Linked DNA regions of Lepisosteus oculatus. The protein of the gene in region 2 purifies or fractionates together with the protein of the main gene of each other region. This does not show direct contact. Links are inferred from orthologs where the notes say so. Each region holds a gene or a part of one and is shown on either strand. Other genes may lie near its edges.

The links.
Region 1: the proteins of sik2a (region 2) and ywhae1 purify together in Homo sapiens (affinity purification with mass spectrometry; 3 studies listed by BioGRID and IntAct, with this or other methods). This does not show direct contact. The link is inferred for Lepisosteus oculatus from reciprocal best matches to the Homo sapiens genes SIK2 and YWHAE.
Region 3: the proteins of sik2a (region 2) and serine/threonine-protein phosphatase 2A 55 kDa regulatory subunit B beta isoform purify together in Homo sapiens (affinity purification with mass spectrometry; 3 studies listed by BioGRID and IntAct, counting the BioPlex papers as one, with this or other methods). This does not show direct contact. The link is inferred for Lepisosteus oculatus from reciprocal best matches to the Homo sapiens genes SIK2 and PPP2R2C.

Annotation. Positions count from the first base shown.
Region 1 is NC_090721.1:11,108,975-11,116,742, forward strand, and holds the start of ywhae1 (tyrosine 3-monooxygenase/tryptophan 5-monooxygenase activation protein, epsilon polypeptide 1), read left to right. Parts: upstream 1-4,695; 5' UTR 4,696-4,890; coding exon 4,891-4,954; intron 4,955-5,671; exon of another isoform or gene 5,672-5,704; coding exon of another isoform or gene 5,705-5,741; intron 5,742-7,768. UniProt on the Homo sapiens protein: Adapter protein implicated in the regulation of a large spectrum of both general and specialized signaling pathways. Binds to a large number of partners, usually by recognition of a phosphoserine or phosphothreonine motif.
Region 2 is NC_090718.1:15,495,805-15,503,321, forward strand, and holds the start of sik2a (serine/threonine-protein kinase SIK2), read right to left. Parts: upstream 3,085-7,517; 5' UTR 2,715-3,084; coding exon 2,577-2,714; intron 525-2,576; exon of another isoform or gene 48-524; intron 1-47. Other genes in the region: layna (layilin), read right to left, coding at 6,056-6,422, 6,541-6,643, 6,937-7,023. UniProt on the Homo sapiens protein: Serine/threonine-protein kinase that plays a role in many biological processes such as fatty acid oxidation, autophagy, immune response or glucose metabolism.
Region 3 is NC_090696.1:42,685,099-42,692,605, forward strand, and holds the start of serine/threonine-protein phosphatase 2A 55 kDa regulatory subunit B beta isoform, read left to right. Parts: upstream 1-4,447; 5' UTR 4,448-5,118; coding exon of another isoform or gene 5,119-5,188; intron 5,189-7,507. UniProt on the Homo sapiens protein: The B regulatory subunit might modulate substrate selectivity and catalytic activity, and might also direct the localization of the catalytic enzyme to a particular subcellular compartment.

The DNA.
Region 1 (7,768 bases), on a different chromosome or scaffold from region 2:
AGTGGCCATTTAAAATATAAACGTCAACTGCTATTTTTGTGCATGTGTAGAGTTTATTTTAGGTTTCCCAATTAAAGAGATTTTTATCCCTCTGTTTCTTTCTTAAGTTCAGTATCATCTCCTTTATTAAAATTTATCAGAGAAAAAAAAATGATCAGAGTTCATTTGGCTGGATGTCTCATCCTCAGAAATGCAGAGTACAAGCATTACAGAACACACGCAAAAAAATGACAGAATCACTCACTGAACGCCTGCCAGTCCAAGTACAGAATCGCTCACTGAACCCCTGCCAGTCCGAGTACAGAGTTGCTCACTGAACCCCTGCCAGTCCAAGTAAAGAATCGCTCGCTGAACCCGTCAACCTGAGGACAGAAGCACTCACTGAACTCCTGAAAATCTGAGGACAGAATCATATACTGAACCCGTCAGTTTGAGAACAGACTCGCTCAATGAACATGCAATTCTGTCCTCAGACTGATGGGGGTTCAGTGTGCGATTCTGTCCTCAGACTGATGGGGGTTCAGTGTGCGATTCTGTCCTCAGACTGATGGGGGTTCGGTGTGCGATTCTGTGCTCAGACTGATGGGGGTTCAGTGTGCGATTCTGTCCTCAGACTGATGGGGGTTCGGTGTGCGATTCTGTCCGCAGACTGATGGGGGTTCGGTGTGCGATTCTGTCCTCAGACTGATGGGGGTTCGGTGTGCGATTCTGTCCTCAGACTGATGGGGGTTCAGTCTGTGATTCTGTCCGCAGACTGATGGGGGTTCGGTGTGCGATTCTGTCCGCAGACTGATGGGAGTTCGGTGTGCGATTCTGTCCTCAGATTGACAGGTTCGGTGTGCGATTCTGTCCTCAGACTGGAGGAGGTTCGGTGTGCGATTCTGTCCTCAGACTGATGGGGGTTCGGTGTGCAATTCTGTCCTCAGACTGACAGGTTCGGTGTGCGATTCTGTCCTCAGACTGATGGGGGTTCAGTGTGCGATTCTGTCCTCAGACTGATGGGGGTTCAGTGTGCGATTCTGTCCGCAGACTGATGGGGGTTCGGTGTGCGATTCTGTCCTCAGACTGATGGGGGTTCGGTGTGCGATTCTGTCCTCAGACTGATGGGGGTTCAGTCTGTGATTCTGTCCGCAGACTGATGGGGGTTCGGTGTGCGATTCTGTCCGCAGACTGATGGGAGTTCGGTGTGCGATTCTGTCCTCAGATTGACAGGTTCGGTGTGCGATTCTGTCCTCAGACTGGAGGAGGTTCGGTGTGCGATTCTGTCCTCAGACTGATGGGGGTTCGGTGTGCAATTCTGTCCTCAGACTGACAGGTTCGGTGTGCGATTCTGTCCTCAGACTGATGGGGGTTCAGTGTGCGATTCTGTCCTCAGACTGATGGGGGTTCAGTGTGCGATTCTGTCCGCAGACTGATGGGGGTTCGGTGTGCGATTCTGTCCTCAAACTGATGGGGGTTCGGTGTGCGATTCTGTCCGCAGACTGATGGGGGTTCCGTGTGCGATTCTGTCCTCAGACTGATGGGGGTTCGGTGTGCGATTCTGTCCGCAGACTGATGGGGGTTCGGTGTGCGATTCTGTCCTCAGACTGATGGGGGTTCAGTCTGTGATTCTGTCCTCAGACTGATGGGGGTTCGGTGTGCGATTCTGTCCTCAGACTGATGGGGGTTCGGTGTGCGATTCTGTCCTCAGACTGATGGGGGTTTGGTGTGCGATTCTGTCCTCAGACTGATGGGGGTTCGGTGTGCGATTCTGTCCTCAGACTGATGGGGGTTCGGTGTGCGATTCTGTCCACAGACTGATGGGAGTTCGGTGTGCGATTCTGTCCTCAGATTGACAGGTTCGGTGTGCGATTCTGTCCTCAGACTGGAGGAGGTTCGGTGTGCGATTCTGTCCTCAGACTGATGGGGGTTCGGTGTGCAATTCTGTCCTCAGACTGACAGGTTCGGTGTGCGATTCTGTCCTCAGACTGATGGGGGTTCGGTGTGCGATTCTGTCCGCAGACTGATGGGGGTTCGGTGTGCGATTCTGTCCTCAGACTGATGGGGGTTCGGTGTGCGATTCTGTCCTCAGACTGATATGGGTTCCATGTGCGATTCTGTCCTCAGACTGACAGGTTTGGTGTGCGATTCTGTCCTCAGACTGATGGGGGTTCGGTGTGCGATTCTGTCCTCAGACTGATGGGGGTTTGGTGTGCGATTCTGTCCTCAGACTGATGGGGGTTCGGTGTGCGATTCTGTCCTCAGACTGATGGGGGTTCGGTGTGCGATTCTGTCCACAGACTGATGGGAGTTCGGTGTGCGATTCTGTCCTCAGATTGACAGGTTCGGTGTGCGATTCTGTCCTCAGACTGGAGGAGGTTCGGTGTGCGATTCTGTCCTCAGACTGATGGGGGTTCGGTGTGCAATTCTGTCCTCAGACTGACAGGTTCGGTGTGCGATTCTGTCCTCAGACTGATGGGGGTTCAGTGTGCGATTCTGTCCTCAGACTGATGGGGGTTCGGTGTGCGATTCTGTCCGCAGACTGATGGGGGTTCGGTGTGCGATTCTGTCCTCAGACTGATGGGGGTTCGGTGTGCGATTCTGTCCGCAGACTGATGGGGGTTCGGTGTGCGATTCTGTCCTCAGACTGATGGGGGTTCGGTGTGCGATTCTGTCCTCAGACTGATGGGGGTTCCGTGTGCGATTCTGTCCTCAGACTGACAGGTTTGGTGTGCGATTCTGTCCTAAGACTGATGGGGGTTCGGTGTGCGATTCTGTCCTCAGACTGATGGGGGTTTGGTGTGCGATTCTGTCCTCAGACTGATGGGGGTTCAGTATGTGATTCTGTCCCCAGACTGACAGGTTCGGTGTACGATTCTGTCCTCTGATAGGGGTTCGGTGTGCAATTCTGTCCTCAGATTGATGGGGGTTCAGTGTGCGATTCTATCCTCAGACTGATGGGGGTTCAGCGTGCGATTCTGTCCTCAGACTGATGGGGGTTCAGTGTGCGATTCTGTCCTCAGACTGACAGGTTCAGTGTAAGATTCTGTCCTCAGACTGATGGGGGTTCGGTGTGCGATTCTGTCCTCAGACTGATGGGGGATCAGTGTGTGATTCTGTCCTCAGACTGATGGGGGTTCGGTGTGCGATTCTGTCCTCAGACTGATGGGGGTTCGGTCTGTGATTCTGTCCTCAGACTGATGGGGGTTCGGTGTGTGATTCTGTCTGCAGACTGATGGGGGTTCGGTGTGCGATTCTGTCCTCAGACTGATGGGGGTTCAGTCTGTGATTCTGTCCTCAGACTGATGGGGGTTCGGTTTGCGATTCTGTCCTCAGACTGACAGGTTTGGTGTGCGATTCTGAGACTGCCGGCCTGGGAATAAAACCAGCAGGCAAACATGAACAAGTAGACACAAGAGGAAAAACCACAGAGTGGAATTTAAAACTGAGAACAGCAGGAGGCCCTTCTCTACACAAAGAGTCGTGGGAGTCTGGAACAATTTATCCCACCCTCTTGTCAAATTTGATCATCCCAGCTCCTTAAAAGGAGCGACTGGATGAGATCCTTCGATCAACTAGCTACTAGCAACCCAACAAGCTAAATGGGCTGCATGGCCTGCTCTCATTCGTAACCTTTTTTCTGTTGTTAATAAAATGAAATCAATATTGAGCGGGCCCTCCTTCCCTGCTTGTGGCTGCTAATGTACCACGTGCTTCTCTGAGTGCTCCTGCAGCAGCTACTCCTGAGGGAGACACTGTGCCTTCCTGAATCATCCTCATAGCCTGTGGAAAACAGACACGACTGTAATTTCACATAGCACGTCATTTTTACAGGCCTGCTTACTTGTTGTTGTTCTGACTTGTCGTTCTTGTTTGCTTCATTAATGTTAACACCGGATGAATTAATTGAACAAAAGAATAAGCCTTTCTGTTGGTTGATATTTCACACTCTACATACAGGGATACAGCCTCAGCTTTTTACTGAAGCTTTTCTTCAGAACAGATCAGAAAAACTGTGGGAGACGGCTTTTAGGGTTTTTTTAGTTGTAAAAAAGATCTATTTACCTGTAATGGACAAATCTGTTTTTTTGACACATTGATTTTCATAATTTTAACACAACTATCTTGTGAACATTTGTTTTTCTTTTAAATGACGCTTCTATGTTGTGCCATATTTTTCAGTTAATTTTATTGCATTTTGTAGCATTTTTCATCCCCCTAGAATCCCAAATCGAAATTGTGTTCACGAACAGAGGACTTCCAGAAGAAGTCCGGGGACCACATAGGGATCCCCGAAACAAAGGGAGCCCCTCTAATCCCCAATCCTGTACAGTGCTGTTGTGTAAAACTAACGTCCGCAGTAGATCTGCCCTGACGACGATGACGGAGGTTCTGCTGGCCTCTGTGTTTCTTTCCAATTACAAATCGGTTTGTCACACAGTAATTACAGTTCTCGACGGAACCGCCTGTGAAAGTCCGGGACCGGTGTCGCAGTGACGGGAAGGCGCCACATTCCCAACCGACACAGCTCGGGCTCCTTCAACTGCCGGAGCCCCGCTCGCGGACTCCACGCTCTTCGCTTCAGAGCTACGCGCACACTCGCGCGGGGACTCCAATCTCCAAGTTTCTGTGGTTGCCAGGGAGCGGTTGCTATGGCTGCGAGCTGGTGCAAGAAGGGAGGGGAGAGCGAGTGAGCGAGCGAGCGCAGGAGAGAGAGAGAGGGTGGTGGACTGGGTTAGTTTCCCGGATGGAGATCCATCGCCATCTTTAGTCCAGTGCTGCCGGTGGAGTGGGGACGCGCTGCTGCTGCTGCTCCGCCAGGAACCGCCGATCGACTCACGCAGACTCGCCCGCCGCCGAGCCGCTTCTCCACAGCCAGTGCAGACACCGCCACGCCGGCTCCGAGCAGACATGGGAGACCGAGAGGACTTGGTGTACCAGGCCAAACTGGCCGAGCAGGCTGAGAGATACGACGGTAAGAGGGAGGGGAACCAGGGCGGTGTTATTTTTGGGGAAGAAATCTGTATTTTTCTCCTTCGCTGCCGAGCGCCTTCCTCGCCCTCCCTCTGGCGGAGGGGGGCTGGGGGAGAGGACAGGCGGCTGAAGATGGAGTCCGGCAGAGAGACAAAATGGCGACGGTTTCACGGGGGGCAGACGGGCTGTGCGGCGGGGAGGGAGAGCGGCGCCGGGCACACGCCCCACGGACACCCGCGGAGACACGGGTGACCGCGGGCGCCCGGCAGGGGACAGCGAGACCGTGCGGGTCCGGAGCTCTCGGCGGGGGGGAGGGGGATCGCGTCCGCTGTGTTGCAGCGAGGAATTGCATCCAATTTTTGCGAGTTTGCAAAATGGCGGCTAACAATAGTAGATAAATTAGCGGAGGGGGGCGAGTGCGGGGCGGCGGGTCCGGCGGGACTCGGGCGGGAGCCGGGGCGGGGAGACGGGGTTTTGGGCCGGGAGGCGCGGCCGGGCGCAGTCCGGGGCTTTTTTCCTCCGGGGGAGCGGCGTCGCTCGGGCGGCGGGGAGGGGGGAGGGTGTCCGGCGTGCAGTGGGGTCCGGCTGGCTTTGTCCCCGCTGGGGCCGGGCCGGGGGCGAGGCTCGGCGAGGGCAGCCGGACCGCTCCGCTCCCCGGGGGGCAGGGAGAGGGGTGGGGACACGGACCGGACCCCGTCTTCTCGGGGCTGTGGCGGCGGCCGGGGTGCTTCAAAATGGCGGCTGCAGTGAAATGGGATTTGGTCTGACACCGAGGTTTCCGAATGGAGGTGGTTTTGAATTTTGATCTTTTCAAAGAGATCGTCTTCATTTCTGTCTGGTCTTGCGCTCTCGCGTTCGTCTGCGCGTCCGGCGTGACACACGCCCAGCAGAAACGGGAGCAGACCGAGTTAGATTAAATGTTTTATAAATCCTCTCTGATATCAGAGCAGAGCTCCGCGTGTTTTGAAGTGAATGTGACCCAGACCCGTCTTATTTGATCATATTTAGTCAACCGTTTGGTTGTGTGTGGCGGGGAATCCTGCGTTAAGTAATGGCGACCCTGGATCTTCCCCTCGGCGGCGCGGCAGCTGTGGAGCACCGTGCCCTGCGTGGGGCGCCGAGGTGCCGACTGGGGTTTAGCCCGGAGCTCGGCTGTGGGTGTGGTAGGGGCAGGGGTCCACGCCGCGCTGGGCTCTTGCGCAGCCGGCTGCAGGACGGATCCCTCCGGCTGCACGGCAACATCGTCCTGCGGTTTTCACGTCCTGGGCTGGGATCGGGCTCTTTCGGAAGGGGGTTGTCCGTACTGTGTGATTTTAAACCGGAGGGAGCGGGGGGCTTAAGATGGCGGTGGTTCGCTCAACGTCGTAATTGGCTGGAAGCTGACAATAAACAGAAGAGACGCGGTGCTTGATTAATGCCCCTCCGTATCCAAAGCTGTGAGCCGTCGTGCACGGAGCCACAGGTGACCGAGAGCTGCCGAGAAGCCCGTCGGCGATATTACGGCATGTCTGCTGCATGCTGGAGTGGTGAATGGCGAAGGCTCCTCCCTGCTGTCCGCCCGCAGTTCATTCATTACAGCAGCCGCCGGCCGCAGGCGCTTTTCCTGCCTGCATCGTCGCCCACAGCGGCGCTCATGTGCCCAGTCCTGATTTTAGCTGGTTCTGGTCGTCACCCCTCTTAGGCAAACCACAACCATCATGCTGCGGTTCTTTTCTCTGTCTGTCCTCTTTGGTGCAATACTAGCATACACAAATAAACTTCGGGATCCAGTTGAAAGCTGGATGCTTTGGGGCTGCTGTGTGATCATTCGAATTCCGCTTCTGTGTGTACATGGGCAAATCTGCCCCTGTGATGACCTTACCTAAATTAACTGAGAACTGACAAGGGTTTGAAACACCCCATCTCTTCCTCTCGGTGAGCTGTGGGCTGGAGTGACAAACACGTGCGTTGGTGCAGACCTAGGTGTACAGTTACAGTTGTGCGCCTTACATCAGATCCTGTGAGGGTTTGAGCCACATGCTGCTGCTGCCCCCTGCCATTCAAACTAGGCCAGTGCTGCTGTCTGCGTTATGGAGGGCATCCACAGAGAATGAGGTCACTGTTTGAAAAGGCCATTTAAATGGGTCCACGTTTGTGGGCGGTGTAATGAAGCATGTCAGAATGGTGTGGCTTCTTTTTCCTAACTGGATAAACTGCAGGTTCTTGCAGCTCTCCTCACCTGTAAATGGGGACTTTCAGATGCAAGTGTGGAATTCCATTTCTGTAGTGCTTTTCTTCCCTGAGTATCCCAGAACACTCTGCATTTAGGGCAGGACCCTCTTCATCCATCAGTGAAGAGCAGCCCTACCTGGATGACGCACTGCTCAGGCGAGCAGGAGGGAGGAGTGAGAAACTGCTGCACCAGTTAAACTAAGGGGGGCCTTAGGGGAGGGGGGGACAGACTCTGTAAATCCAGAATGGAATTAAACTGGGTTAAAACCTCATGTGGTCTTCAATGAGCAAGTATCAGGACTTCCATTTAACACCCAGAGGACTGCAGCACTCTCTCCTAATCACCACAGTGGGCCATTGGGATGTTGGTTTGGAATTGTCTTGTAGAAAGAAGAGCACCCCCTACTGGTCCACCATAACCAGGTTTTCTGTCTGCCATACCAGTACTGACCTGGCCCAGCCTTGCTTAGCTTCTGAGGTGTGGCAAGACCACATGGTGCTAATGCTGCTGTCATTGTAACCTGTAGTGTACTTCTATTGTGTGTCCCTAAGATAATGTGAATTGTGTATGGCTTTGAATATGGAACATACGATTTTTTCACCT
Region 2 (7,517 bases):
TTTCAAACAATTCTTTAAAACAACTACATAATAATAACGATAATTACCGAACGAATTCCTTGGAAAACCTTTATTTCTCTTCGTTCGCGTGCTTCACAAATTAAGGTTTAACGCAATAAAATAATTTGATCTCATTCCTCGAATAGCCTTTGCATCCTTACAGTGTCTATAGCTGCGCATTAAGCTCTCCACTGGAGGTTATTTATTGGGTTATCAAGAACAAACCCCGCCATTTCAACGCCGGCGGCTTCTCGGCCGTTGTAACGTCGCGGTTGTGACGCAGCGGAGGCGCTACAGGCTGTGGACACTTGTGGGATGAAACACTTCAATCGCGCCAGGTGTCGCGTCAAAAACATATCTCACCGGTTTTTTGCCTGGAACAAAAACAAATCACACCCACATCTCTACCTTTTATCTCAGACGTTAAACCAAGTTTGTGCTCCAGGGAGCCCGGAGGAGCATCCTGACACGGGCGACTGAGCATAATCTTAATCCCGCAAACCTGAAAAAGTCAACAACCTCCGGCTCCACAGGACAGACACTTAACAATCACAGCTCGGCACCGAGCAGGAAAGTCGTCCGTCTCTGGGCAAATTCACGCACCCAACACGGTCATATTTGCCTTCGCCACTCCGGGGGGTTGGGGACCGTCTTTTGGTGAAAGTGTAAGAACGCGTACAAAAAAGGCGATCGCCGCTTGCTCTGGAAAACTCCACACACAAAAAAACCCACCCCGAAACATACAGAAAGCGATGTCTCTTAATTAAAAGCTTACTCCGGTCCTACAGTACATTGCTATCCGGGGACCTTTAACCCCGGCCCTGGGGAACGCTAATGAGCCACGCCGCCAAGAAAGAGCTTCGCCTGGGGGTTGTTAGTGCAGCCAGCAGCACAGGGCACGGAAATTCATTAGCCTAAAGAAGACAGCAATTAATAATCAGATTTGCAGTTGCCCGCTGACACGTGTAACAAGAGTAGTCTTGACATTTGACGTACAACATATAATATTCCTTCAAATTCAGCCATTAATTGCTAATAGTTTACACGAGCTGCATGTTCTGAACAAAAAAGGTTGATAGTCTATTATAGTTATCCGAACTGTAAAAAAAAAAACACTAAGAAGCAATTAAATATCACGCTAATTCGTTTTTATGAATTAAACAGGACTGGACTGAACAGAACTGCTTCTGCTCCTGCTGTATTCAGTATCCCCACTACTGTCTCCTCTCACTGTGTATTCTCATTGTGCATATCTTGTGTATTGTGTCGTCGTCGTTCTGCAAAGGCGCTTTGAGAAGCCACCTGTAAAGGCGCTATATAAATACAGTTCTTTATTATTCCTGGTGTCACGACGGAGTTCTTATTAGGGCGGGTTTGTTATTACCACTGCAGTGATACAATCGGGTTTCAGTGTATTTACTGTATTTTTATCTTCTTTCACGGGAAACTTCAAACACGACCAGTTGTTTCACAGGTGACGACAAACTGTGCGGGGGGCCGGGCAGGCAACCCGGAGCAGCAAAAACAGAACAACAACGATCATTATAACAAGACGAGGAGCGTGAGAAATCACGATACACGTCTTTCAGTGCGACTGTCGGCCGTCTGCGCGCTCTTAGAGGTCTGTTCGGCTTCTCCGGAACACAAACACAAACTTCCAGGGAGACGGAAAACGCGCTTTCTGCCGCCAGTGCCGCTTTATAAGAGGACACCTGCGGCCGGAGCGCTTGTGTGCAGCCGCCCCTGGCACCGCTACTTCCCGCGACACCCCGACAGGAGCCGGGCTGCCCCTGTCAGACTCCCGCCGCCGCCAGCACAGGCGTTGGGGGGACAGAAAATGTGCTTTCTCCCCCTGATATCATTCATGAGCATTATGTAACTCCGTGCTCAGAGTGACCATGCCCCCAAAACCGCGGCTGTTTACATCGCCCTGTCACATTGCATAAGCCGGCGGACCGAGCGCAGCCCTTTTTTTTTCATCTTTGCGAGTTGTCGTGCAAAACCCAGTTACGAATATCCGAGAGTGACCTGCTCCCAGTGCTGAGTCTCCTAGTCTGAAATTAAACTTCACGGTGTGTGTTATTATCATCATCAATGTCTCATTATTTTCACGGCGCTGTGTCGTGACAGTCAAGGGGTGTTGTGTGCAAATGTTCACCAGCCGTGCAACTTCTGCACGGCTGTGCCGCCGACTCTAGAGCCCGGACCGGGGGCTTGCAGCCGCAGGGCAGCTGGCCTCACCCTGCCCTGAACTAACTCCGGGACACTTCCACAGCTTCGGGGCGCCCCGGCTCCGGCAGTCCTCCCCCCAGCTCCACTTTAAAAACTGCAGCCCGTATTCCCCGGCTTGGCGGCGGGCTCGGGGTGTGAATGGGTTTCTGAGCACGCCAGTGTACGAGCTGACCCGGTCCGAGAGTTCGCCCCGCACAGCTCCGGCTCCGGCTCCGGCTCCGGCTCAGTTCACGACGCTGCAGCCGAGCGCCGCCCGCGCGCCTGGGTCAGACCCCGCGCCCGGGCCGTGACAGCCGAACCCGAGCGGACCCGAGCCGAGCCGCGGTCCATTGCACAGTACTTGCCTCGGTCTTGGTGATGCGGTGTCTCGCCAGCTTCACCACCGCGAAATTCCCTTTGCCTAAAGTGCGCTCGATATCGTAGAAGCCCACCCGGACCGGACCGCGGTGCGTCGGTTTCTGGTGAGTATCCGCCATGACCATGCTGTTCCGAAGGGGTGAAGAGGGTCGAGGGTCGGGGGGGGAGGGAGAGGGGGAGAGAGAAAAGCGGGGTACCGCACGGCTTGAGCCACAAGGAAGAAGACGAAGAAGCAGGAAAAAAAAACCCAGCCGGGCGCTAGGAACTGTCTATTAAAAAGAGGCGCAGTAAAATCCCCGCTTCCCGAGCCAGCTTGAAGGTTGACAGCGTCCTCAGTCCAGCCGAAGGGAGACAGGACATTTACCGGTGGGACAGGAATCTGTCACGCCGCCCTTTCCAATACAAAAGGGCTATAATGTTTCAGCCCTGTTGGGCAGACTGCACGGGCTGACTTCGAGCAGAAGGCATCGTGTTCCCTGGTTGACGTCCATTGACGTCAGAGCCGCTGGGGGTATTTGTACAGGGGGCGGGCCTTTGAAGCCGTTCCACACTCCGGTGCCAATTCGTCTCCAAGACGACCAGATCCACCTCTGACGTCAACCGCCGGCGAGTGCTATTCTAAAAGCTGTCAATCTGCGCGCTCGGCCGGCGCGCTCGCCGCGGGTCTGCAGATGGGAGCTGTGATAATACCTTTTGTTGAGCGGCTCGGAGCTTTTTTTGTTTTGTTTTGTTTTTGGAGGGGAGGGCTTTAAAATGTGCATTTCAAAGCTGTTAACATACTGTTGACCTTGTGCCTCTGTGTTAGGTAGACGATCTTAAGCGTGTCCGCCGAGCACTCCCGCTCTTTTGAAGTGCCGTCTGGCTGCAACCTGTCTTGGTCGCAAACGCTGTAGCTACAACCTGTTGTGTTATAATGGCAGTTTATCGTGGTGAAGTTTATTATACGGTGTTGTTTTTATTTTATTTTGCCACGTTCGTACTGTGCTCCGCACTGAAGCACGCAGAAGAAAATGTTCCCTGCACCCCGCGCTTCGCCCCAGGTTTCTGCTGCATTCTTCAATTATTCAGGCCGCTGTAATGAGTATTTCCGAGTTACCTGCGATCCTAAGCCTACACGAAAAGCACCAACCAAAACAATGTAACAAGAAACGTGCACGCGTATCTATGCCTGTCTCCCCCAACACAGAACGCAATTTTAATTCGCTCTGAATAGCACCCTGGACCCGCAAGCAGACTCGAACATTATTGTTGCGTGTAGAGTCTGACTGTCAACCCGCTGAGCTGCAGCCTCTGTCGACACAGCCAGGGCCGCCGCGGGGTCTTCTCTTCCGCGATCCCGCACTCGGCTTCGGCGGGGGAGCGCTGCCCCCTGCCGGCGGCCGGCGGGTACTGCAGGCAGAGCGCACGCAGTGGGGGGGCGAGATGTGGGGAATCGGCCTCGGGCACAGAGTGACTTCCCCCAGACGCCTTATTGTGTATTGTTCCGCAGCCACATGGACAAGTTACTGAGCTCAGTTACGTAAGAATGCAGTTCAGGGAAGAAACTAGAACACAGGGTCAGTTCCTAGTATTTATCACCTCTGATGTAGAAATACTAGCTGTTAACATCCATCCATTTTCTGACCTCTTCTTCCAGTTCAGCCGGGAAGCTGGAGCCTATCCCAGCCAGAGACAGGCACAAGGCAGAGTACAATCTGGAGGGGACATCAGACCATCGCAGGGCACACAGGCACAGACACGCACTCACACCCGGGCCGGTTTTCCCAGAAGCAACTGAAACTACCAGCATGGACTGTGGGAGGAAAGCACAGCATGAGCACTGGGGAAACATGCGAACTCCACACAGACAGCCCCCCGGGTCTGGAATTGAACCCAGGGCCCCAGCGCCGTGAGGCAGTGGGCAGAGGCAGTGGCACTGGGCCACTGGGCCTCCCTAGCTGTTAACGTTTGTGCAAATTAAATATTCATTTAATCAAGCCTATTGAAAAGCACTGGACCATAATAGTTGTTAATGCCCCCCCAATTTGCAACAGAACTGACTGACATTCTTGCCTGTCAAAGTTCCCCTGGTGATGCCTCTCCACTAACACACCCAATCAGTTCTTTTGAATCCCTTCTGCTCTGCTGTGAGCAGAAGAACACAAGAACAGCTACAAATGAAAGTAGCCAACCGGCCCCGTTAGGCCACCTGGTAGTTAGTAGTTACAGTAAATGATCCCAGGACCTCATTCAGTCATTTCCTGAAACAAACCAGAGTACTGGTCTCAACAGCAGGACAGGACAGCTTGTTCCAGACTCCCACGATCCTTTGCGTAAGGAAAGAAGTGCCTCCTGGTATTGTTTTTAAGTGCATTTCCCCATAATTCCCACCTATGTGTTCTTTTTTTGCCCAAGTTTCCAAGAAGCAGCATTTGGATTCAGATTTAAATCATTCTGTGGAATGAATAGATAAGAGCTTCAACTCCGTTCAGAGAACAGGGGAAAGGAGCCCGAGTGTCAGAGGTATCAATGTGGAGCATCTAATCCGATGACCCAGAATGTCTGTGAGCGAATGTCTGTGAGAAAAGTACCTCCTCAGAGGGCCTCCACCCACCCTGTTGGCCCCCTGAAGAGATGTGCATCGTCACCTGACTGATCTGGGGGGAGGGGGGGGGGGGGCGACGACGTCCCCTGCCTGGTCCGTCAGCTGCGACACACCGCCCCCTGCAGGCCGGCGTCCACTCACGGCCCTGCAAAACACCAGAGGCGCACGCGGCTCACTCACATACACAAGCACCAGGCAACTGGGTTGTTCTCATTGTTTATTTCAGTTCCGTGTACATGATTGGATACAGCAAACACATTCCAGTTTTCCGACTTCCAGAGTGCAGGGCGCGCGGTCGGGCACCGGCGGACTGTTGGGAGCGTCAGGCCGGAGTTGGGAGTGGGCTTGCGCAAGGGGTCCGCACGCGCGGGTCTTTAGACCTTCTGGTGCAAACCCAGGCAGGCGCGGCTGCCAGCACTGTATCATCGGGGGTTCCTGGCACGGTTTCTCCGTGTTCTGCAGACGGAAGCAGCTGAGTATTTGTCGAAGGAGCCATGGGTGTGTTTGGTTCCCTCTGGGGCAGTATTCCAGTCCGGATAGAGCAGTCGGGGAGATACAATTGCCGGTCAGGAGCAGTTCTCTTCTCCATCAGCTGGCGACTGCGTCTGGATCTGGCGGGTCTGTTGATAAAAAAAGGCCGGAAGAGCTGAACAGCTCCCGGCGCCTGCGGAGGTGGGGGTGGCAGAGGTTGTTGGGGCTGTTGAGGCCGACACTCTGGGCGATGACCCGGAGACTTCTCCAGGTCTTGCATCTGCAGCAGGATAGCCGATAACGGAGCCAGCAGGGAGTTCTGCGCAGCGACAGCTGCCCCGTATACGCGAGAGCAAGATCAGATTGGTTTTGGGGGGCGGCGGGATGGCGGGGGGGGGACCGGGGCGGGGCCTAGTAGCCGTAGATCTCGTTCTCCACCCAGCCGGACTCCCGGTTCGGCCGCCCGCGGCCCTGGCACGTCTCGTAGATGTCGTTGGTGACGAAGCCGCTCTCGGTGCTGGCCAGCGTGGCGAAGCCGCTCTCCGAGGTGTTGCCGGCCATGTTGTCGTAGTCGCTGGAGAGCTGGTCGTCGGGCGCGCCGCCGGCCGGGGAGGAGCCCCTGAACGAGGTGATCTTGATGTCCGGCCGCGTGCCCGCCAGGTCGGCCTCGTGCTGCTTGCGGATGACGTGGTACACGTCCAGGCTGGGGCTGCTGGCGCGGTCCGGCGACATCCACAGGGTGGGCTCCTTGTGACACGCCTCCGTGCGCTCCTTCCTCCTGCGCGGCAAGCAGACAGGCGCCGGGGTCAGCGGGCGGGGTCGCGCGGGTCGCCAAGCTGCGTGGACCTCAAGGGCGGAGGGCGGGACTGGCGCAAGGAGGGCGGAGGGCCTCTTACCTGCTGGCGAAGAGCCGGAAGCAGAAGACGCCGGTGGCCACCAGCAGGAGCAGCAGGAGGGGGATGGTGGGGATGACGATGTACACGATGTTGAGGATGTTGTCTGCGAGGGAAGCATCGGAAGGAGCTTAATCTTTCCGGTCTTTTACAGAAGGAAAACAGAAGGGGCTGGATGCCGGGACTCAGGAATATAAAAGGCATGGACCAAGTCAATCTACAGCTTCAGGATCAACAAGGACCCGGGGACACCAGGGGGGAAATTACAATTTTTCAGTCCAGGCCAGGTCGGTGGAGACCTGCAGGCCGAGGGCAGGATGTGGGCGTTATCCGTAAAGCTCACTTGGCACCAACTGTTTTTCAAAAGCACCCCTTCCTTGCAACGGGACGCCCCCTTACCTTTTGACTTGGTCATCAGCACGTCGACCTTCTCCTCCCTGTCCGTGACCGGAGGGTACTTTGGCCTTGGAGACGTAGCTGCAGCTTCTGCAAGACGAGCGTTTCAGAAGAACAAGAAGGTAAGGGTTTGGAAACACACGGCAGCCAGTGGGTGGCCTCCTTTCTCTCCAGATAGCCGTTTGTTAGCAGTAGGAAATAAAAGGAGTTTGATAACAGACCCTTCTGTTCCTGTAGTGAACACTCCTATCCCCTTCCCGTCCCATTCCCATCTCCCCCACAGTTCACAGTGGAAGTGGTGAGACTGGGAGGGGCATGCCCGCCCGCCCTGCAGGAGGCACTGTTCCCCACAGGGATAAGACTGGAGCAACAGCAACCAGGGGCTCTGCAACTGGGTCATTTTAAAATACCCCGGATATGATGAGCTGAACCAACTTCCCCAGAATATAATAATAACTCCTCACACTTATATAGTGCTTTTCTGGAGACTCCACTCAGAGCTCTTTACAGGTCATGGGGATCCCCTCCACCCCCACCAGTGTGTACCCCCACCTGGATGATGCTCCAGTCCTCTCCCCACACAC
Region 3 (7,507 bases), on a different chromosome or scaffold from region 2:
GTAACACTGTATATCTTCATTCATGATTAAAACAATGCATGCATTTTATCATATTACAATGAAAGTCTAATGTGTGTTTGTTTTAGTGTTTTTATTGGCAGTAGCCATTATGATGCACTTTACATAAATATGTTAAATGCAGGTCAGTATTTGTTTGCTTATCCCTTTGTGGCCTATGGCCCATTGAACTCACCCAATTATCACTTGATATGCTTTGAGTTTTCATCTCTTCCTGGGGAGCTCTGACTTCAGTGTTTTCTTCAGCTTTTCAAATGCGCATTCAGTTGGATTTCAATGTGTCGCATGCACATTTTTTTCCAGGACATCAAATCCCTGTATTGGAATCAAGAGTCAATTATGTGAGTCTTATTTAGGTGTTTACTAAGACGTCAACAGCATGTCTCAGAGGGAGTCATTTATTAGGTATTATTAGCATAGAACAGGCAGGAGTATTTTGGATACAAGACGATGATTTCATGAATCTTAAAAGCAAGGCTCAATGGTATCTTACCGTTGGTGCAACCCTTAGAGCAGTCGCTCAAGACGGAGAATATTCAAGGATGAGAATATCTAATGTAGTGCCTGTCCTCAGGAGGGGCCAAAACTGAACCAAGTCAAGGCAGTCATAGTGGTGTACAGTACAGTGTCCTTTGTTACATGAAAGGTTAGAGAAACAATTATCAAAACTAAGCTAGATTCTCAGCTATTTTAAATACTCCTGGGTCACTGTGCTTCATACATTATTATATTTTTACACTGTTTGATAATTTCATGTATTTTTCAATGCCCTGCCTTGTGTCTGTTGTTTGCCCTAAGGCATGACCCTGAATTGGAAGAAATGGTTAGAATATAGATGGATGGAATTTTGGTGCTATTGGATGGATGTTACATAAGCCGAGATAAACCTAGATTACTACCTTCTTGAAATAATGATGTAGAACCATGTTACATGGAATCTGAAGTTTAAGCTTATTAAGTTTGTGGCTTAAAAGAAAGAGCATAAAAAAAGATAAACATTCAAAATGCTGATTGCTGGGAAGATGCTAGCACATCTAATCAAGCTTCTGTAATGTAACATTAATGGTAATGGTGCTCATGGATAATGATGAAACCAGTTATAGCGCCAATGTACATAAAACTTTAGAAAGAATTATACAACCTATATGAATTTGAGAGTGGAAGAGGAAAGTCCTTGATATCAGTGCGTGGCATCCTGCAAGCCAAATCTTCAGCAACATCTAGAAACAAGATGCACTTGGCACATAATGATTAGGTTAATTGAGGCTCACAGTATTGACTGGCAATGCTGTGTTAGAGTTTGTATGGACAGTGCCAGAGTTAAGTTAGGACAACACAGCAGTGTGGTAGTTCGTATATACAAAGTTGTTCCCAAAATAAAAAGGACTCGCTGGTGCACCCATCGAGCGGCCTTGGCAGGCTGTGTTAGACAGTGCAGTGAAAGTGGTGTGTCTCTTTAAAGCAAGGCCTGTGAATTTGCTAATTCTAAGTGTCCTCTTCAGTGAAATGGGTAGTAGCAGTACACGGCTCCTGCTGCACTTGGAAGCAAAGGGGCTCACACCGTTATTTAAATTGCCTTTGGAAGTTCAGGTGTTTCTGCAAGAGCATCAGATCTCAATTTCAAAATGCTTTGTGCTTTGAGAATCCTGTCTGGCTATCACAACTGGCATAGGTGAAGAATCTAGGGCTACTGGGACCCTGTTTGAGTTTTAGATGTGGGTGTCAAGATTAATGCCATAGTGGGGGAAAAAGCAGCAATTGATTGAAATAAAAATGCAGACAGGCACTGTTTCTGCTCTCTCTACGGTGTTACCTTCCAGGTTTTTACTGTAAATGAGACGTTGATCTCACTTGACTTATCTGGGTTAATAAAGGTTTATTTATGCTAAAACATTTATAAATCTAAAGGTCTATTCACCAGCAACCTTCCCGCCACATTGCTTTACTAAAGGAGTCGACAATGGCTTTGTTTAGAAATGCCAGAAAAAATCATTTAAAGTCAGTAATGTGCTTACATTGCATGTCTAATGCAGCTTCTGCTACTGAATTGTTTTATTAATTTCTTTGAAGTCTGGTTCATAACTTGTGCAGGCTTTGTTAGTCTTGAGAGGAGATAGTTTTGAATGGAGGTTACCTGTTCACACACACAGGGGCCAGGCATCATTTACAGACTAAAACCAACATTGCACATTGTGTTACATGTATACGAAAGTTCCAAGTTCATATAATCCGTCCAGTCAGTCCATTTGTGCAGGTTTGCCTGTTCTGAGAATTGACAAGCAAAGCTTTCCAAGCTTGAATTAAGGAAGGGAACTTTTCATCCCGTTTCCAGCTTCTTAGCATCTGCAACTACTAGCTCTAAATCTCTAGAGGAAATGTCCAGAATGACATTCAAGCCCAGTGCTTCCACTGGGTCTACATGGGAGGTGAATCATGACCTTGAACAATGAGCTTTCTGTACAAGCCTACATAATGTGACTTGAATGACAGTAGATCAGGTGTAAGACACACTAGCTTTGTAAACTAGGCTTGTTGCAGGGATACTGTACTAAGCAAGAATCTTGACATAGTCGCAGTGTCTCAAAGTGAATGAGTCTGCCAGTATAGAAGTCTTCTGAAGTACACTTTCAATTTGTATTCAAATACAAAAGCTGCTTGGTGCAGACAGGATGATGTTTCCTTGACTTTGAAGTTTATCAGTCAGTGGGGCTGAAATGACCTAAATGTACACAAAATAACCTGAGAAGTCAATCATAGTCTGAGTTCAGGAGGCACCTTTCGTTTCTTGAACTGTTTAATGCAAACGCCAAAGCAAGCTAAAACATCACCTCAGGACCGCCAGCTTTCATTGCTGTTCATCAAAAGTCCTGGATACTCACAACCCTTCTACTGTTTGTCAATATCAATATGATCAGCTATTTATATCATGAACATTCTGCAGGTAAAGACCATATCTGCTACAAGTTTTTGTCTTCTTGGGAGAATTTGCCAAATAGCTCTTAGCTATGTTAAGCATACATATCTTCACCTATTCACCATCTGTAAAAGGCTAAAAGGTGACCACACCAGTACTTTGACCCACTTTTGTAAAAAAAAATATTTACAATGAGAGCAGGCTATTTGCCACAGCTAGTTCAGTTATTTATTTCTGAGAAATCTTTTTTTTTAAACGCTAAAGTTATTTTTTTTGTTTGCAGTCCCTTCTGACTGAAAAGAATGCTAACTCATCGTTTTATTTAATTTTGCCATTTTAAGTAGCTTTACACTCGGCCCGATTCAAGATTGGAGGATGATATTGAAAAATAAATACAACTGTTTATACACAGCTAAAGATTTCAGATGACAAATTACCTAAAAAATTACTTGTCCCATTGAAACACAGATTTAGGAATAAAATCAATAAGAATACCAGAAAATGGGTGGATATAAAATAACATCACTATTTCTGTTATTTGTTAGTCTATGTTTTACGTAACTTTAAATGTTTGGGAATTTGTGATAACTTTGTTACTTATGAGAGCTACTGTATATCTAGTTTGTAGAACAGTCACATATAGGTCACAATCCATAGGATACTGATCTTGTTTTACTACATTATCAGAATAGCTTCTTTGAGTTCATTAATGGAAACACTAATCCTTAGAAATTCTTTCGTTGCAATTAACATCTGTGTTACTGAAAATCTACTGCCACATTCCTTATTACTGCTCTATTTCATAATGGCACATGCATGGATCCCTTTGAAATCTCTTGGAACTGTAATTTTTATATTTGTAAAAGGCCTTAATAAGATGTTTATTAATTGTTTTTTTGTGCTTTTGGTTTGAAGCCTAGTGGAATCCTCGGGTATATCTCTGTAGAGAGTTAGGCTGAATTATTTCCAACACCATTAAGGGATTACTGTTAGTCATATTTTCTGGACTCTTTGTTGGTGAAAACTAGTCCATTACTCTTCTTCACACAGTGACACTAGACTCTATGAGGCTGGAGACTCCTTCATTTAGGAGACTCAGATTAATGTGCATCATCTTCCTGGCAGTTGTTTACAAACCAGTGCTACAGACGTTCTCTTTTAGTATTCTTATCCACTGGAAAGGAGGTATATTTCTTATCTGCCTATATTTCTATATTGTAATCATAAAGGATTTGAGCCATATGACATGTCACTTTCAGCAGCTGGTATCAGTTGGGGGCTACTGCTGCAGCCTTACAGTAATTAAAGGCAGAATCTTTGAAACATTTGTTGTTTTGCTGCAGTAGGAGAAGTAACGTGATGTATTTCAAAGCAGAGCTGCACAGAGAGTTTTCCCCTCTGCTTCTCCTGCCTCCCAGAGTGCAGCTTTAATCACCTGCAGTCTCTGGAAATGCAGATCATGGCTAGCTGCTCATAGGCTAAGCTGGGAGGAGCCTACTCTGATGCAGCAGAGGCCTATGACAGCAGTAGCAGTGGCAGGCAGCAGCAGCAGTACTCACACTCGCTTCTCTCTCTCGCTCTTTCTCCTCTCACGCGCGCGCATGCACACACACGCACACCGTTTCACACTGCACCAGCAAGCCTGCAAGCAAACAAGCAGCCACACTCATTACCCTCTCCTTCCAGCACAAATCCTTTGAGATCCTGCTGCAGCAAGCACGAGGAGCCAGCTCTGCATGGGGGCTTGTTTAAGGAGTACCTGACTAAAAGGACTAGCGTGTTTCTTCAAACCACAGGAGTGCTGCTGCAGCTCTATAGAGTTGGGGGGGGGAAGCCACAGAAGGGACCATCTCCTGTTTTCTTCTTCTATTTTTTTCTTGCCAGTTTGCTGTACCAGCTAAGCTTTTTATGCCTTCTGTGTGAGTGGGTGTGAGGGGTGCGGGGGTTGTGTGTGTGTGTGTATGTGTGTTGTCCCCCAATTTTTCTCTTCCTCTCCTTCAAACATCTCAGCTGCACCACAAGTCTGTGCCGCATCTCGTCTTTTGGCTCTCATTATGCTATCCTCTGAACCCCTGGCAGTTCTCCGCCTCTGCTAGGCAGTGGCAGCATGGATGGTGCTCTTGTGAGGAAGCCTACGGATTCGATTAGTCCACTGCGGATGGGCATGCTGAGTAATCCTGCTGTAAATGGGCGAGGACATTGACACCCGAAAAATCAACCACAGCTTTCTCCGAGACCACAACTATGTGACTGAAGGTAGTGTTGCATGTGTTTTCTAATGCTCGCTTAAATGAGAAGCTGCTTGCTAGCTGAGATTATTATATACTAATGTATGCGTTTAGGTTATTTTAAACTTTGAAATCAGATGTTTCCTATAAGGATTTTTTTGCTTGTTCTTAGCAATGGGTAGCAGCCGTATTCTAGTTTATTCTGCACATTACTTAGAAACCTGACCTGCATCTCCCTAACGTCTAATTAGCTGTACAGATAAGAGGTCTTCACCAGCAGTAAATATCTGACGAACTTTTCAGAGGAACAGAGAATCCATCCTTTTTGCCTGTAGTGACATTGCTGATCCAGTGCACCAGAAGAATAAACGATTTGTATAAAGGTGTGCGAATTCATCAGGTGGACTCCTTGTTGGAGATGATTATTCATTTATTTTTAGCTCAGCTGCTCCTCTAATTAGAATGATCGAAAATCACAGATGCACTTGATGAAGGGTGTATCTCAGTTGATTACTAATAATGAAAACCAGAGAAAAATGATTTGTTCAATCACCTACAAATAATATTTATGGAAAGCATAAAATCTCTCTGACAGTGCAAGATTCTCTGTTGCTGTGGCCTCCACTATTTTCTACTGTAGGGTACAATTATAATTTTAAATGGACATTCTTAGATCCTGTAGATGCTGAATGCTGTGTGAATGATTTATAACAGAATGAGTTGTGCTATCAGTGGCAATTCAGCTAGCATATTTCACTGTATTTACTCATGGGGATCTCTTTTGGCACACAGGTGTATTGCTTAGTTTTTATATTTTTATCATGCGTACCATTTTTGTAGTTAGTCGTGACGTGTAGGATTAGCAACCCCAAGGCTGTGTTTTTAGTTGGTTTTATGACTTATGTCACCCTTAGTATAAGAGTGTACAATTATCTGTTTGATTCTGTAAGCTGTTAGATGATGAAGGTTGAACGCTGGCAGGAAAATGTATGTACTGTAGAAGCAGTTTTTCCTTTTTTCAGATGCAGTGTAATAGCTTTTGCTACAAATGCTGCAGATTAAGGGCCTTAGATCTTGTGATTTCAGTGGCAGCCAGCAGGTTCCGTTTATTCCACTTTAATGAACACATAACGGCTAACAGGGAGTCTAAATCTGGTAAATGGTGCTAGATGCAATAATTGGTGATCTTAATTTAAAATAACAAGCCAAGAAAAAGCAAGACCAAAACATTTAAATGTTTGTGGGAGGGAGTTTAACATTGGAATGCCTGCCAAGGGTTTTATCTCGGAGAAAAATGATGTAGTGAGTCAGCAAAAAACGGGAATTCTGCAAACTGTTCTCTCCAGTTGGTGCATGAACAAGGTGAGGCTTCATTTACAGTCTCAGAGAGTCGAGCATGACTGTTAACCAGGCTAAATGTATTCAGAAAAATGTGGCCAGCCAGGAAATTGGAGTTTAAGGAAAGAAAAACATATGCTATGTTGTAGACTCATAATCTATATAATGTAGTATATGTGAAGTACAGAAACATGCTACCACATATATGATTTCTAATGTAGCTTACAGGAGTCAGCCCCATGAGAACATTTATAATTACGTTTTTGACCCCAGCTTGTCATGTAATATTGGATACCCAGCCTGAAAGTGACCTTTTGTTTGCAAGTATTGACTGAACTATAATTTCTGAAATGGATTCTTAAATTATGTTTTGGGTCTGCCTTTTTTTAGGCTAAAAAAGATCCTATTCGGTTCATTTTAGTACAATGTAAACCATATAATTGAGCAATTTCTCACATTTATTTGTTGATTTATTAAAGTGTTGCTCATGCACTGATTACACTGGAATTCATAACAGTTTTCAAGCTCCTAGAACTTTAAGCAGGCCTTAATTTTAATCTCAAACCATGAAAATAGACCTTTTGAATCAATGTGGGGAAAATACTGTTACATTGCTTTTCTCCCCAAGTGCTAAATATTTAATGTTAATGCAGGTACCGTATGTTTACGAATTTGTCGATGGCAGTACCATTTAAGAATCTAAGCAAAACAGTGTGAGGAATCTTTACAGGTATTAGTTATATGGGAGTCCTGAAGCAAGATTAAATATGGGCTTCAAGACTTTTTTTTCCATTTTTTTAGTAGTGCTTGTTGAATTGGTAAAAGTATATGTAGAAGTTAATTCTACAATAAAGACATGTAAAGAAAAAGTTTCAACTGTGGGGATTTTGTTAGGGGTGTGGGAGGAAGTAAGGAAGCAGGATTAGGAAGCAAAGAGTTTGGCGTGTTTGGTAAGGATAATAAAGGAAGGAGGCTCTGAGGGAGGGCACGTCAGGCGAAGTGTCCAGAC